Linked DNA regions of Styela clava. The main gene of each other region encodes a partner of the protein of the gene in region 2 in a complex. Links are inferred from orthologs where the notes say so. Each region holds a gene or a part of one and is shown on either strand. Other genes may lie near its edges.

Region 1 (8,015 bases), on a different chromosome or scaffold from region 2:
CCATCTATCAAGTAATTTATTTCAATTTTAAATATTCTACACATACAGACATAATTATGTGGGGAATTTTGTGTCGAAGTCGCCTCACCTATATCTGTATATGCTATATTTCTCTAAAAGAATTCAACATGATGCATGTACTGCAGTGTGACAGTACTATCAACTATATTTTGGTGTAATTCCTAACTTCATCTGGACCATGCTTTTTGTTTGAGATTTATTTGATTCTGTGATTGGTTAAGTCAGCAAGTTAAAACCTAATGATTCAATTACATTTTCAGCTAATGTTGTAAATAGGTGAATTTCAATCTTAATCATGGCTTCAACCAGTTCTGATCCAAAGGCTGAAGATGCATTCAATACATATATGTCCGAAGTGAAAAGAATTGAAGCCGCGGATTCAGTACTAACACCAAAACAACAGATTGATCGTTTAAATCGACCTGGATCAACTTATTTTAATCTTAATCCATATGATGTTCTACAAGTTACGCCAGAAACTCCTCTACCAGATGTTAAGAAGAAATTCAGACGCTTATCTATACTTGTTCATCCAGATAAAAATTTAGAACAAAAAGAGCTCGCACAAAAGTCATTTGATGCTGTCAAAAAAGCATGGGAATTACTAAATGATGATAAAGAAAGAGAAAAATGTTTAGGTGTAGTTTCAGATGCAAAAGTACGACTTGAAACGAAATTGAAAGAAAAAAGGAAGAAATTGAAAAAGGAAGGAAAACCTGCTGAAATACCAGAAGATGATCCGCATGTTTATGAATCAGAACTACACAAAGAAACTTGTAAACTTTTTGCTGACATGGCGATTGTTCGTAAAGAGATGGAAACTCGAGAAATGAATGAAAGAAAAAGGAAAGCGCAACAAGAAGCTGAGGAAAAAGAAAAAGCGAAGCAGCAGAAAGAATGGGATAAAAACTTTGAGGAAAGTCGTCAAGGTAGAGTTTCCAGTTGGCAAAATTTTAAGAAGGATAAAAAGAAGAAGAAAAAAGACACGAGGGCACCTTTCAAACCTCCGAAAGTCAGAATGGAAGAAAGATGATTTTCCTCTCATTATAGTTATATTCATCAAACTTATATCTCTAAAACTTCAATTGTCTTTTGTTTCACATCATATCGAAATAATCTTGAAAATTAGAATTGATTGTGAAACCTGTGTACTAGGCTATAGTATTATGCATTGACATAGAATCATCATTTTGTTTCTCCCAATTGGGGTCAAACTTTACAGTAGTGAATGAGTCCCCACTAATTTTAAATTATGTTTCATTTAGAATATTATTATTGAAACAGTTTTTATATGGGTATGGTTTTCAATAATCTGTCAATGTTATTAAGATGGAATTTATGGATTGTTCTATGTATTTGTAATAAGAATTTGGTGAATTGAAAAGCATATATTTTTCAGCAAAAAAAAATCAAATTGGAAAATTTAAATAGTACTGCATTGTGACACAAATTGTTTTTCACCAAGATTATATTAGTAGTAATTTTCCGTTTATTTTGTTATTTTGTCTCACTTGACAGGTATGCGGCTATATTAGCTTATTTTTTAAAGTTTATTGAACTATGCTTCTTTGTTATTTTCAGCTTGTGTCACTGCTTAGTTAATTAGTTAAGAACAAAATGGATTGGAAAAAAATTGTACGAAGTGAATACATCACGCTTAGATCGGCGAAGAGATATCAACGTAGTGACAAAATTAAACAAGCTTTCATAAATAACAGAGTAAAATTGAACGAAAGAATTTCAAAATTGGAACAAACAAATGAAAAGTACAAAGTACAACAACCAGATTCAGAACCGGTTTTTACAAATAGACCATTCCTTCGATGCTGTACAGTGAAAAGTAGTGTTCATGCTTTCCGTGATCAGTCTGTTCCTTTATGTACACTGCAAGCTGTGCCAAGTCTTCCTGTTTATTATACATGGGTCCCAGTTCAACAGGATTTCATGGTTGAAGATGAAACAATTCTACATAACATTCCATATATGGGGGACGAAGCTTTGGATAAAGATGGAAGTTTTTTAGAAGAGTTGATTATGAATTATGATGGTAAAGTGCATGGGGACAGAGAAGGTGGTTTTCTAAGTGATGAATTATTTGTTGATCTTGTTGATGCACTGAATAAATATAATATCAGTCGTAAACGTCGTCCTTTGAGAAGTCGTTACAGAACTGATAGTGCTGCAAATGAAGCATCACAAGACAACACTACAAGCGAATCAAGCAATGAAGATGCAGATCCAGCGAAAGAGAAGGAAACTGCAGATGCGGAGCAAAATAAAAATTCAGACTCGTCATCTGCTTCTGGTACAAACACATTTCCTGCAGATGAAATATTTGATGCTATTGCTGATTATTTTCCTGATAAAGGTTCAGGTGAAGATTTAAAAGATAAATATAAGGAGCTGACTGAATTGATGGATCCCGATGCACAACCTCCTGAATGCACTCCCAATATCGATGGTGCAAATGCTAAATCAGTACAAAGGGAGCAAGCATTGCATTCTTTTCATGAATTATTTTGCAGACGCTGTTACAAATATGATTGTTTTCAACACAGTCATCTTTATAGACCACCTATTAAAACGAGTAAACGAAAAACTCAAGATGTTAGAACACCTACAGAACCTTGTGGTGCTGATTGTTTCCAACACCTTGAAGGTGCACAAGATTATCGTGAAATATCAGAGAAACCTCACAGACATTTGCAGAGAGGATTGTCAAAGAAGAAATCTCAGCTTAAAGGCGAAGGAAGAAGTGGGAGCAGCAGTGGAAGTCGACCTAGTACCCCTGCCCCAAGTGAGAGTGAGATGGATACAGATGCGACAGATACTGAAAAACTACCTACAACACAATCAATGACATCATTTCTTGAACTCGTTCCTGAAAATTTGACTAAAACTATATGGGATGGAGCAGAGTCAACTCTGTATCGGGTATTAAGAACAAATTACCCAAACAATTTTTGTTCGATTTCGAAACTTATTAAAACTAAATCTTGCCAAGAAGTTTATGCCTTTGCATTACTTGAAGCTACACGCTCGCAACATGACAGCGGTTCACAACCTCATCCACATGAACATGATTTGAGAGATTCAGCTTCTCCCAGAAAGAAAAAAAGGAAGCACAGACTTTGGTCTCTCCATGCTAGAAGAATACAACTGAAACGAGATTCGTCCAGCAATCATGTTTACAATTACCAGCCTTGTAATCATCCAGGACAGCCTTGCGACAGCAATTGTCAATGCATTATGGTTGGAAATTTTTGCGAAAAGTATTGCCAATGTCCGTCTGATTGTCATAATCGCTTTCCAGGATGTCGTTGTAAAGCTCAATGTAACACCAAGCAATGCCCATGTTATCTTGCAGTGAGAGAGTGTGATCCAGACCTCTGCTCTCTTTGTGGTGCTGACCAGCTCGGCACAAATGCAAGTAAATGTTCTTGTAAGAATGTTTCAATACAAAGAGGTCTCCATAAGCATCTACTTTTGGCTCCATCTGATGTTGCCGGATGGGGAATTTATATAAAAGAAGATGTGCCCAACAAAAATGAATTCATTTCTGAATATTGCGGAGAAATTATATCTCAGGATGAGGCAGATCGTCGTGGAAAAGTTTACGATAAATACATGTGTAGCTTTCTGTTTAATCTCAATAATGATTTTGTTGTGGATGCCACTCGTAAAGGAAACAAAATTAGATTTGCCAATCATTCCGTTCATCCTAATTGCTATGCTAAAGTGATGATGGTAAATGGTGATCATCGTATTGGAATTTTCTCAAATTGCCCGATACAAGCAGGAGAGGAATTGTTCTTCGACTACAGCTACAGTCAATCTGATGCAGTAAAATATGTTGGAATAGAAAGAGAGATGGAAGTTTCCTAAAACTATTTGAGAATCATTATAATAGGCTACTACTGTAAATAAGTATAACAGTTAGGAGTTTTGTAGACTATTCTGATTGCTCACACTGCGATTCACTTATTGAATCAGGCAATTGAAAGCACTAGTATGGAATGTTTTCTTTACACATATTTATTTTGTTTGACGTGGTCCCTATTTTGCCAATGCATTATTGCGTTGGCTTTTCGTTTTATAAATTGAGGATGCAGTAGACATCCCCAGGGGCACAGTCAGGATTTTGCAGCGTAGAGTGGGGGGGGGGGGGGTGGGGCGGGGTCGGAGTCAGAAATACCCATGTAACGCATGAGGAAACAATTGATGCGATTATGCTACTCATTAAAATTGTGGTTAACGTATCTTGCGGTTGCATCGTTTCACATAGAAATAACATTGTATTTGAACTCTAAAATACCATGGCAATCAGTGGATATAAAAATGTGATATGAATTCTACAATTAGATTTTACTTTGGATTCATATTTTTGCGACCACGCAAATTTGTTATTGCTGATAATAAAATCACAAAATCTGTGATAAAATTGCAGTACAGTTTATGTTAGTACAATAAAAAATTGATTGAACATCAGTATCAGCATAATCCAAAAAAAATTGAGTGTGGCCCTGACGATAATTTATTAACTGATGGCATGCATAATTGACTGTTTTATCTTCAGTGACTATGGTATAGTTCCAACTTATTATAATGTGTTCCATGGCAACTCAGGCCCCGAAAACCCCCTGGCTGCACCACTGGACTCTGCTGTCTCTTTTGCATCATTTGCTGCTGAAACTTATTCATAATTTCTTTATTTAGCTACTGCATTTTTTTGTTGTTGTGCCAGACATTATAATCTATATGTTGTTTGAATCTGCTTGTTGTGATACCTTGTGACTGTCATCATATTTTTAAATCATAAAATCTAAATGTTTGACCAATACTGTTGTCTATAAAATAAATGCACATCACTTGATTCCAGAAACCTTTATGATCATCATAGAAATCCAGCATAATCAGATTTATTGGTTTATTGAAACATCTGTTCTATATCAATTGCAATGGTTTTGTACTTTTTAGTTTAATATCTGACATGGACTGAACTACATAGGCTATGTATGTATAAAATAATTTTATAGACAACTTCATTCATCATGGCAATGGAAGTCACTATGCAAGAGGGTAGTGGACTGCCATTGGAAGACAGGTAGTACTTCTTTATTTAGAGTTATTGTCAACAGGATCTCTGAAATTCATAGTATGGTAGTGGTATGTTTATACCAGTTCAAAGAACATATTGAGTTGATTTCATTGAGCAGACTATGATCTTAAATCACAACAACATTCTAATGCATTGTTGTTGGCGGCTTGACACCATTATTCACTCAAGAATAAGTGACAGATACTGCTAATTATTCTGCAAATAATGCGGTTTTCGATAATTTTCGTCATTCCTGATTATAACCATATATTTCTTCTGTGCATGGTTATCAATGATTAATAAAATTTGAGTTGAGTGTTATATTTCTGTCTAGAATATTGGCAATGTGTGCTGAATATCCTAAAGGAATCGGTGATGAGTTCATTCAGAAGAAAGAACCTCAAATTGACTCAAAGGAAAGAGTTGCTGCAATCAACAAGTTGCTTACAATGGTTGGTTTGTTTTAAATATAACATTGTAGTATTCAGTATAATTTTTGTTAATATAAAATTTCATTAATTATTTGTGAATGTGTCGGTCAATTCGATTGCGATTTTGCACCATGGTGTTGCTAACATAATAGTAACAGCATGTTTAATAAAATTTCGCTATATTAATTTCCTGCCCAGCTTTGGTCATGTTTATTGTAATGAGATCAATCTAGAAGCAGGTGGACAATGATTTTCTTGCCAAGATTCTAACTACACTAAAACAAAATTCGCCCACCTGTTGGAGATTTCTTAAATATATCTTAAATGTTCTGTACTTGGGTTTTCAGGGAAAGATAGAACTTCTGAAAGGAACTTCTGGATTGATATACAGATTGAAATGTACAACCGGAGCAAGGTATCTAGAGTGTTGGATTGTAATGAAAATTATTCTGCATCCACATTGTGCTTGGTTTTGGATCATATATGTTTTGTTAACTTTTATGACATGATTTCCCCATTTGCGTGGTTTGTGACGAAACATGGGTCTAGAGTTCATATAGTCACCCATTATACTAACATTATACACAAGTTCAATCTATTTGCTTTGTATGACATATATGTATTACCATAGTATCAAACAGCTGGAAAAGAGGAATTGACAAGAATCATTTTGTTGTCGAATAGTGGAATTTTGTCATAAAAATCTGTTATTGTGTAAAACTGGCCAATTTTGATTGCGATTTTGCACCATGGTGTTGCTATCATAATGGTTACAGCATGTTTAATAAAATTTCGCTATATTGATTTCCTGCCCAGCTTTGGTCACGTTTATTGTAATGAGATCAATCTAGAAGCAGGTGGACAATAGCCTTTTCACTTTTTTGGCAAGATTCTGAATAAACTAAAAGTAAATTCGCCACAGACGATGGCCCCTAGTCAAAAGGATCAAAGAGTCCTTTTTTGAAAATATGACATTAGCTACTTTGGATTTACTGCCATGGCATAATATTAATGGGAGACATTTCTACTAATTACAGCCAAATCAAAGGAATTGACAATCAAGATAAACTTGTGTATCAAGTTATAGAAAGTGCTGGTAATAAAGGAATATGGATTCGAGATATTCGACACAGATGTAATTTAATGTTGACGGAAGTTAACAAAATATTGAAGAATTTAGAAAACAGGAAATTGATCAAAGCTGTCAAATCTGTCACGGTATTTTCATTGCAGTCTTGTATTTTTGTTGAGACGTCCTAATACTGCAATCTGTGACTATTCTTATTCCAGGTTGTATCTGTCATAGCAAACTTATTTGAATGGTGGAATTTTGTAATAAAAATCTGGTATCGTGTAAAACTTGTCAATTTTGGCTGCGATTTTGCACCATGGTGTTGCTATCTAAATGGTTACAGCATGTTTAATAAAATATCGCTATATTAATTTCCTGCCCAGCTTTGGTCACGTTTATTGTAACGAGATCAATCTAGAAGCAGGTGAACAACAATATTTTTACTGAAACTAAATTATCTCTAGTCGATAACTGATAACCAAGGTCTGTCATGTTGCCAGTGTGCTTCTGATTATGAAATCTGTGAGTGGATTTTGGACTCTATGCCAGTTATTTACAGCTTTCTCTAGCTAGCATCTAAGAAAGTGATTTTAAAACATTCCCATAAAGAAACCTGGTCCAGTGGTCTGGTAACTGGAGGCTGTAGATCGTGGTATATTTGAGTGTCTTCGTCTGTATTTCCTATAAAGATAGATTTGAAAATACGATCCATCCTGATTGTTGACTTGTTTACATATTCAACTCATGACTAGTACAAGCGACTAATTCTGCTTTCAGTTGGTAGGATTGTTATGGGATTCTTCAATAAACATTTTTATTTTTTATTATGTCCTAAATTTTTATTTTAATAAATATGTATTTCAAACAGTAGTAATTTCATTCAATTTTTATTCAGGCTTCTAAAAAGAAAGTATACATGCTTTTCAATCTTGAACCTGATAGTTCAATAACTGGTGGAGCATGGTATTCTGGACAAGATTTTGAATCCGAATTCGTTGATGTTTTGAATCAACAATGTTACAAATTTCTTCAACAAAAAGAGGAGAGCGCTGCAAGTGAGGTTTGGGACCACTTCATATTATTCGTACACTGAATAACTAGGCCTATCTTATGGTGGTACTATATTTCTGCAGTGTACATTTTTGTTATTTGTCTTGTACTCAATACCTTGTGAATGTCATATGTTATATGGACATATATTTTGGAAAGGTTTGGAGTAAGAAAATTTCAAAAATTAATGAAGGGTAAAATTACTGCATTTGCCAGTTATTTAAATATTGCATCTGGTGTACTATCTGCAACCCATGCTCGGTGTAGTCAAATCAACGGTAACACTTTCATGGATATTTACTTTGATAAATTCCTCCTTTCAAGCGAACGAATGCTTTAGTGA
Region 2 (8,014 bases):
TTCATTATAGACTCGGCTGAAAGTAAAATAGACACCACGAAAGAGAATATTGCCTCATATCTTCTCCCGTTTTTATTGAATCTCGGAAAGTATGAAGGAAACATTTCCATTCTTCAAAAATGCTTTATTAGGCAAACGGATGTGACAAGCTGTGGCGTATGTGTCTGTATGGCAGTGGACATGATTTGTTCGGACTTCAAAAATGACCTTGGCCTTGTCTCCCCAGACATATTTCGAAGTTGGATGATGTATGCAATTTGTCTTGGATCTAAAAAACTACATCCGAAAGTACATGCCATATTCAATACTGTATTTCGTAGAGATAGAGAGATAATTGACTAAGTAGTGAAAACAAATAAACGTTTTGGTTCAATTTATACTTATCTTTGAAAACTAAAGAAGTTGACGTAATTTTTGTGAATTTTTTTTATTAGGTTACATTTTTTTGCCAATATTCATAGGTATTTCGTTAAATATATGTGCCAATTCGTAGCATACAATTGATTCGCGTGTTTCAATACTTACGGGCTGTATAGTAGGAATTCGGCATGTTCTCACTGGATCTGGAAGCTTAATATTAAACTGTAAGATTTTGAATTCGATCGTTAAAGTCATAATTTCAGACATTCAATGGTGATAATGGAAGTCAAAAAAGCATCAAGCTTCCTAAGCGTTTTCTAACAATTAATTAATGAAGGCTAACATGCGCTAAAAATTTTGTTATCAAAATCGGATTTTTCTAGAGTTCGGAGCTGTAGTCGGGGTCAAAATTGTTTGCAAACCCGAGTCTAGAGTCGGAGTCATTTCTTTTTTCAATTCGGATTCGAATGTAAATGGCCGTGAAGTGGAACGCCGCAACTATTTCACTGTTACGAAAGCACATGGGTTATTTCTTCGGATACTGTTCATCTCTACTAATCAATGATTTGTACTTCTTTTTCGTTCATGTTGCATGTATACCGGAACAACGTAACAATTTTTGTGCGCAGCCATTTTGCGAAAATAAAATCACCAGTTCAGCTTATAATGCAATGCTGCAAAATTCTTGTTTTGTCTCACCTGAAATGAAAGTAAATCGAATTGTAAATTATCTGTGACTATTTAAATTTTAAATATAATTTAACCATGAAAAAGCGAAGACATTATCCAGTATATAAACATATTATTTCAACGCAATCAAACATAATGGAGAGATTGTTCCTATACATGTGGGGTTGCAAGTAACCAAGCTGATAAAAAGAACAGTGATTAGAGTTTCTCCCGGACAAACATAAAAGCTCATGGATTTGCGTAGAATTTCTCTTATAGACTACTTTCAGCTAATATATACTATGTAGGTGAGTATCGGTGATGGGTCGATTTATACCATGGCATGCATGTCTCTCAATAACAACACTATTCTGATTTTGAGCCCCAAAGGCAAATCTTGGGTCAATTTAACGATTTTTCGAATTTCTAAGAAATTTACGTTATTGCGCTATATTAAAAGTATTTTGTTAGAAAACTGATCGAGTTTTTTTCCAATTTCTTTATTCCATTGGAAAGATGATGAATTCAAATATCCATACTCAAAATATTTTTTAAGCCCCAAAGGCAGATCTTGTTCAAATTTTGGGTCAATTTAACGATTTTTCGAATTTCTAAGAAATTTACGTTATTGCGCTATATTAAAAGCATTTTGTTAGAAAACTGATCGAATTTTTTTCCAAATCCTTTATTCCATTGGAAAGATGATGAATTCAAATATGCATACTCAAAATATTTTTTAAGCCCCAAAGGCAGATCTTGTTCAAATTTTGGGTCAATTTCACGATTTTTCGAATTTCTAAGAAATTTACGTTATTGCGTTATATTAAAAGTATTTTGCTAGAAAACTGATCGAGTTTTTTTCCAATTTCTTTATTCCATTGGAAAGATGATGAATTCAAATATCCATACTCAAAATATTTTTTAAGCCCCAAAGGCAGATCTTGTTCAAATTTTGGGTCAATTTAACGATTTTTCGAATTTCTAAAAAATTTACGTTATTGCGCTATATTAAAAGTATTTTGTTAGAAAACTGATCGAGTTTTTTTCCAATTTCTTTATTCCATTGGAAAGATGATGAATTCAAATATGCATACTCAAAATATTTTTTAAGCCCCAAAGGCAGATCTTGTTCAAATTTTGGGTCAATTTAACAATTTTTCGAATTTCTAAGAAATTTACGTTATTGCGCTATATTAAAAGTATTTTGTTAGAAAACTGATCGAGTTTTTTTCCAATTTCTTTATTCCATTGGAAAGATGATGAATTCAAATATCCATACTCAAAATATTTTTTAAGCCCCAAAGGCAGATCTCGTTCAAATTTTGGGTCAATTTAACGATTTTTCGAATTTCTAAGAAATTTACGTTATTGCGCTATATTAAAAGCATTTTGTTAGAAAACTGATCGAATTTTTTTTCAAATCCTTTATTCCATTGGAAAGATGATGAATTCAAATATGCATACTCAAAATATTTTTTAAGCCCCAAAGGCAGATCTTGTTCAAATTTTGGGTCAATTTCACGATTTTTCGAATTTCTAAGAAATTTACGGTATTGCGCTATATTAAAAGTATTTTGTTAGAAAACTGATCGAGTTTTTTTCCAATTTCTTTATTCCATTGGAAAGATGATGAATTCAAATATGCATACTCAAAATATTTTTTAAGCCCCAAAGGCAGATCTTGTTCAAATTTTGGGTCAATTTAACAATTTTTCGAATTTCTAAGAAATTTACGTTATTGCGCTATATTAAAAGTATTTTGTTAGAAAACTGATCGAGTTTTTTTCCAATTTCTTTATTCCATTGGAAAGATGATGAATTCAAATATCCATACTCAAAATATTTTTTAAGCCCCAAAGGCAGATCTCGTTCAAATTTTGGGTCAATTTAACGATTTTTCGAATTTCTAAGAAATTTACGTTATTGCGCTATATTAAAAGCATTTTGTTAGAAAACTGATCGAATTTTTTTTCAAATCCTTTATTCCATTGGAAAGATGATGAATTCAAATATGCATACTCAAAATATTTTTTAAGCCCCAAAGGCAGATCTTGTTCAAATTTTGGGTCAATTTCACGATTTTTCGAATTTCTAAGAAATTTACGGTATTGCGCTATATTAAAAGTATTTTGTTAGAAAACTGATCGAGTTTTTTTCCAATTTCTTTATTTCATTGAAAAGATGATGAATTCAAATATCCATACTCAAAATATTTTTTAAGCCCCAAAGGCAGATCTTGTTCAAATTTTGGGTCAATTTAACGATTTTTCGAATTTCTAAGAAATTTACGTTATTGCGCTATATTAAAAGTATTTTGTTAGAAAACTGATAGAGTTTTTTTCCAATTTCTTTATTCTATTGGAAAGATGATGAATTCAAATATCCATACTCAAAATATTTTTTAAGCCCCAAAGGCATTTCTTGTTCAAATTTGGGGTCAATTTAACGATTTTTCGAATTTCTAAGAAATTTACGTTATTTCGCTATATTGAAAGTATTTTGTTAGAAAACTGATGGAGTTTTTACCAATTTCTTTATTCTATTGGAAAGATGATGAATTCAAATATCCATACTCAAAATATTTTTTAAGCCCCAAAGGCAGATCTTGTTCAAATTTTGGGTCAATTTAACGATTTTTCGAATTTCTAAGAAATTTACGGTATTGCGCTATATTAAAAGTATTTTGTTAGAAAACTGATCGAGTTTTTTTCAATTTCTTTATTTCATTGGAAAGATGATGAATTCAAATATCCATACTCAAAATATTTTTTAAGCCCCAAAGGCATTTCTTGTTCAAATTTGGGGTCAATTTAACGATTTTTCGAATTTCTAAGAAATTTACGTTATTTCGCTATATTGAAAGTATTTTGTTAGAAAACTGATGGAGTTTTTTACCAATTTCTTTATTCTATTGGAAAGATGATGAATTCAAATATCCCTACTCAAAATATTTTTTGAGCCCCAAAGGCAGATCTTGTTCAAATTTTGGGTCAATTTAACGATTTTTCGAATTTCTAAGAAATTTACGGTATTGCGCTATATTAAAAGTATTTTGTTAGAAAACTGATCGAGTTTTTTTCAATTTCTTTATTTCATTGGAAAGATGATGAATTCAAATATCCATACTCAAAATATTTTTTAAGCCCCAAAGGCAGATCTTGTTCAAATTTTGGGTCAATTTAACGATTTTTCGAATTTCTCAGAAATTTACGTTATTGCGGTATTTTGATCGAGTTTTTTTCAATTTCTTTATGTCATTGGAAAGATGATGAATTCAGATATTCATACTCATAATATTTTTTGAGCCCCAAAGGCAGATCTTGTTCAAATTCTGGGTCAATTTAACGATATTTCGGATTTTAAAGAAATTGACGTTATTGCGTTGTATTAAAAGTATTTTGTTAGAGAACTGATCTTTTTTTTTCGAATTTCTTTATTAGATTGGAAAGATGTCTGAGCTATAAATCCATACCCAAAATTTTTTTAGAGTCCTAAAGGCAGATCTTGTTCATATTTTGGGTCAATTTAACGATTTTTCGAATTTTCAGGAAATTTACGTTGTTGCGTTGTATTGAAATTATTCTGTTAGAAAACTGATCAATTTTTTTGTCAAATTCTTTTTTTGATTGGAAAGATGTCTGAGTTGTAAATCCATACCCAAAATATTTTTTGAGACCCAAAGGCAGATCTTGTTCAAATTTAGTGTCAATTTAACAAACTTTTCATTTTTTCCTCAATAATACGTTATTTTATTTTGATAAATGTAGTTTTTTGTACTTCTCCCTTGATCCCAAATGCTTCGTGTGATTGAATGCTACATAATAACGTTCAATTTGCAATTCTACATCTCTGTGGTTAATAATTAAAAATATTTCGCAAAGTGGAAACACGTTTTTATGACATCGTATATTTTGCTGCGGGATTTTGCTAGCATTTTGCTTATATGACAGTGGCGATAGCACACGGTAGCTTTTGTATTTTCTGTTCCATATATAACAAAGGCCAGAATATGAAGAAAGAGGTTGATAATGAAGACGACGAATATGCGGATTTAAATAAGCCGCTTTCAGATGTGAAAGACAAATGGAAAATATTACCGGCATTTCTCAAAGTGAAAGGCTTGGTGAAGCAACACATCGATTCATTTAATTATTTTATTAACGTGGAGATCAAGAAAATAATGCAGGTTGGTGAAATCTATTATTGATTTTCTACGCGGCGGTGTGGCTCAACGGGCTAAGCGTTAGGAATACGCTCGCTACCGCACCTCTAATTACTCTGCGTGGGTTCGCAGGTTCGAATCCCATGCAGTGATGGTTATGTGCGAGAGGATTGTCCATGCCTCCGAAAACAAACAATATATATATATATATATAACTAATCCCATACCCGACTTGAAATGGTAACCGGACGAGAGGCCGTGGTTCGCCATATGGATAAGCCGTCTTATCGGCTTTCCTCTCCCCCTGGATAAATATGTAAATCCTATCCTATCCATTTCAGTTCAATCTTATTTAGAATATATTTGTTGAAACTTACGGTCTTATCTCCAGTTTAGGGTTAAATATATAAAGTTCTCATGTAAAAATGTTGAAATTATTTTTTTTTTCATTTCGCTGACTGGATGACTCATTGAGTCTTTCGCGACCCTGCGTCAATTGCTGTGAATCAATGTTTTCTATTTATTTTTAGTTCACTATGTTTTACTTTTGCTTTCAATTGATTCTTGCATGACGGGATAAAATATCTGAATCTATCTATTATTTTTATCATTCAACACAATTTAACAAAAACAAATAGGTTAAGTTTATTCGACTTTCTAAATGTTGCAATATTGATTTTGGCTCATTTAAGAATTGCTCATTTGTGAATGTTTTATTTTACAGGCAAATGACAAAGTGCTAAGTGATGCTGATCCAAATTGGTATTTAAAATATCTCGATATTCACGTTGGAAAACCTGACGTGGAAGAAAGTTTCAATGTCACTCGTCCTATTTCACCACACGAGTGCAGGCTTCGAGATCTTACCTACTCTGCTCCGATAACTGTTGATGTTGAATACACAAGAGGGCAGCAGAGAATTATTCGAAAACACCTCCCCATTGGAAGGATGCCAATCATGTTACAAAGTTCAAATTGTGTTTTAGCTGGAAAAAATCCTGTTGAGTTTGCAAAGCTAAATGAATGTCCGTATGATCCAGGCGGTTATTTTGTTTGCAAAGGGGTTGAAAAGGTAAATTAAAAATGAAATGATGGCTGAATATAATTGCTTCACAATTACTAGACTAAGGTTAGGCTACTTTACGAGATAAAGGTGTATCGAGTGAAGTAAAAACTCTGATTAAAATAAAACAAACCTGGTTATATATTGAGAACTGACTTCATAAAAAAATATTGAAATTGCAATATGGCTTCATGAATAGGCTACCTGGCATTATAGCCTATTTATATATGCAATGTATAAAATTAGGAAGCGGTAAATTTCATAATAAAATTTTGAATTTTAGGTCATATTGATTCAAGAACAACTGTCCAAAAACCGAATGATTTGTGAGAAAGATCGAAAGGGTTTGGTGAGTTGTTCCGTGCACAGTTCCACTCACGAGAAAAAGACTCGAGCGACAATTTTGCAAAAGAAGGGAAAATTTTATTTACAACAGAATGCACTGACAGAAGACACTCCTGTTTGTATTATTTTTAAAGCAATGGGTGTTGAAAGTGACCAAGCTATAATGCAACTCATAGGTAAGGCACTAGGTCCAAAATTTTACTGTGGAGTCACGAATGAGTCGGAATGGTCGACATTATATTTTCAAACTTTGTAAATGTGTAACGAAAAAGTATGAACTGAAACATTCCAAGATCTTTATCCACCAATTCTCACAAAAATTTTATTAAGACTTTAGTTGCAGAAATGCTTGTTAATTGAGCTTTTTACATATTTTTACAAATCTTGAAAAATATGCTGATTTCAATTAATTCATGGATGTTAAACTATGGACTATGCATATTGCGCAATTACTTGATTGAATAATCCCATATGCAACCTGGACTGGTAATCGAAGGAAAGTCTTTGCTTCGCCTTGCGACTAATTCATCTCAATCTGAGCCCTTTTCTCTCCTGGTTAAATATTAAAATCATATATTCTTGGACACGAAGTGTATGTGTATATTGTTTCGTTATTATGTTGTTGTTGTTCCTGTTGGTATTTTTTTTCATATAATTATGAAAAAATTGCTTTTCTCAATAATTGCTTTGAATTTTTCAGTGGTTCAAGATTGTATTTTTTGGTAGAAGGTTATTACTTTTCTTATTTTAAAAATTTCTGTGGGCTCTATGGGATTTGTTTTTCGTGTGCGATGACGTCATCAAAAATTGTGCACTTTGTTGCGGTTTTGGGTTCTCAATAGTCGTGAAGACTGTGGTATTGACCTGTACTACTTCGTTCTTGCCTTTGTGTCCATGTTTTTCAGCATCACTTTTTTGTACTTATATAAGTAAATATAATCAGAGTTGGGTACTCCTGAAGTATGTGCACCAAGATGTTGCATAACCTGAACCCTAACCTGGTACACAACCTGATTTCAGGTTGTGTGCCACCTTGGTGCATATACTTCAAGAGGTCCCATAGTTGTTGTTTACATTACCTTTATCCCAGGGACCGATGAGTCCATCATGTCTCTATTTGCATCCTCCATCGAAGAATGTCACAGACTCGAAGTTTTTACTCAACTTCAAGCGACTCGTTATATTGGTCAAAAAATCCGTAGAAATCGTGGCATGTGGGGAGCACCGAGACGATCACGAAACGATGAAGCAAGAGACTGGCTGGCAACAACTTTACTTGCTCATGTGCCTGTTATTGATTGGAATTATCATTGCAAGGTTAGACATGTTTCATATTGGTTTAGTTTTGTAAAGTTGTATCTGTTTTTTACTTGTGATGTTGCAAAAAAGATAAGTTTAAAAGATCTCATTTTTAA

Evidence for each region. Proteins that work in one complex are often made in the same cells at the same time.
Region 1: DNA-directed RNA polymerase III subunit RPC2-like (region 2) and DNA-directed RNA polymerase III subunit RPC6-like share a complex: the UniProt entries of both Drosophila melanogaster proteins name them as parts of the RNA polymerase III (Pol III) complex. The link is inferred for Styela clava from reciprocal best matches to the Drosophila melanogaster genes Polr3B and Polr3F.

The regions. Positions count from the first base shown.
Region 1 is NC_135251.1:26,464,005-26,472,019, forward strand, and holds the start of DNA-directed RNA polymerase III subunit RPC6-like, read left to right. Parts: upstream 1-4,983; 5' UTR 4,984-5,072; coding exon 5,073-5,125; intron 5,126-5,453; coding exon 5,454-5,571; intron 5,572-5,897; coding exon 5,898-5,965; intron 5,966-6,587; coding exon 6,588-6,768; intron 6,769-7,517; coding exon 7,518-7,682; intron 7,683-8,015. Other genes in the region: dnaJ homolog subfamily C member 8-like, read left to right, coding at 317-1,054; histone-lysine N-methyltransferase EZH2-like, read left to right, coding at 1,639-3,906. UniProt on the Drosophila melanogaster protein: DNA-dependent RNA polymerase catalyzes the transcription of DNA into RNA using the four ribonucleoside triphosphates as substrates. Specific peripheric component of RNA polymerase III which synthesizes small RNAs, such as 5S rRNA and tRNAs.
Region 2 is NC_135255.1:15,753,158-15,761,171, forward strand, and holds the start of DNA-directed RNA polymerase III subunit RPC2-like, read left to right. Parts: upstream 1-4,983; 5' UTR 4,984-5,038; coding exon 5,039-5,215; intron 5,216-5,915; coding exon 5,916-6,263; intron 6,264-6,537; coding exon 6,538-6,775; intron 6,776-7,689; coding exon 7,690-7,916; intron 7,917-8,014. UniProt on the Drosophila melanogaster protein: DNA-dependent RNA polymerase catalyzes the transcription of DNA into RNA using the four ribonucleoside triphosphates as substrates. Second largest core component of RNA polymerase III which synthesizes small RNAs, such as 5S rRNA and tRNAs.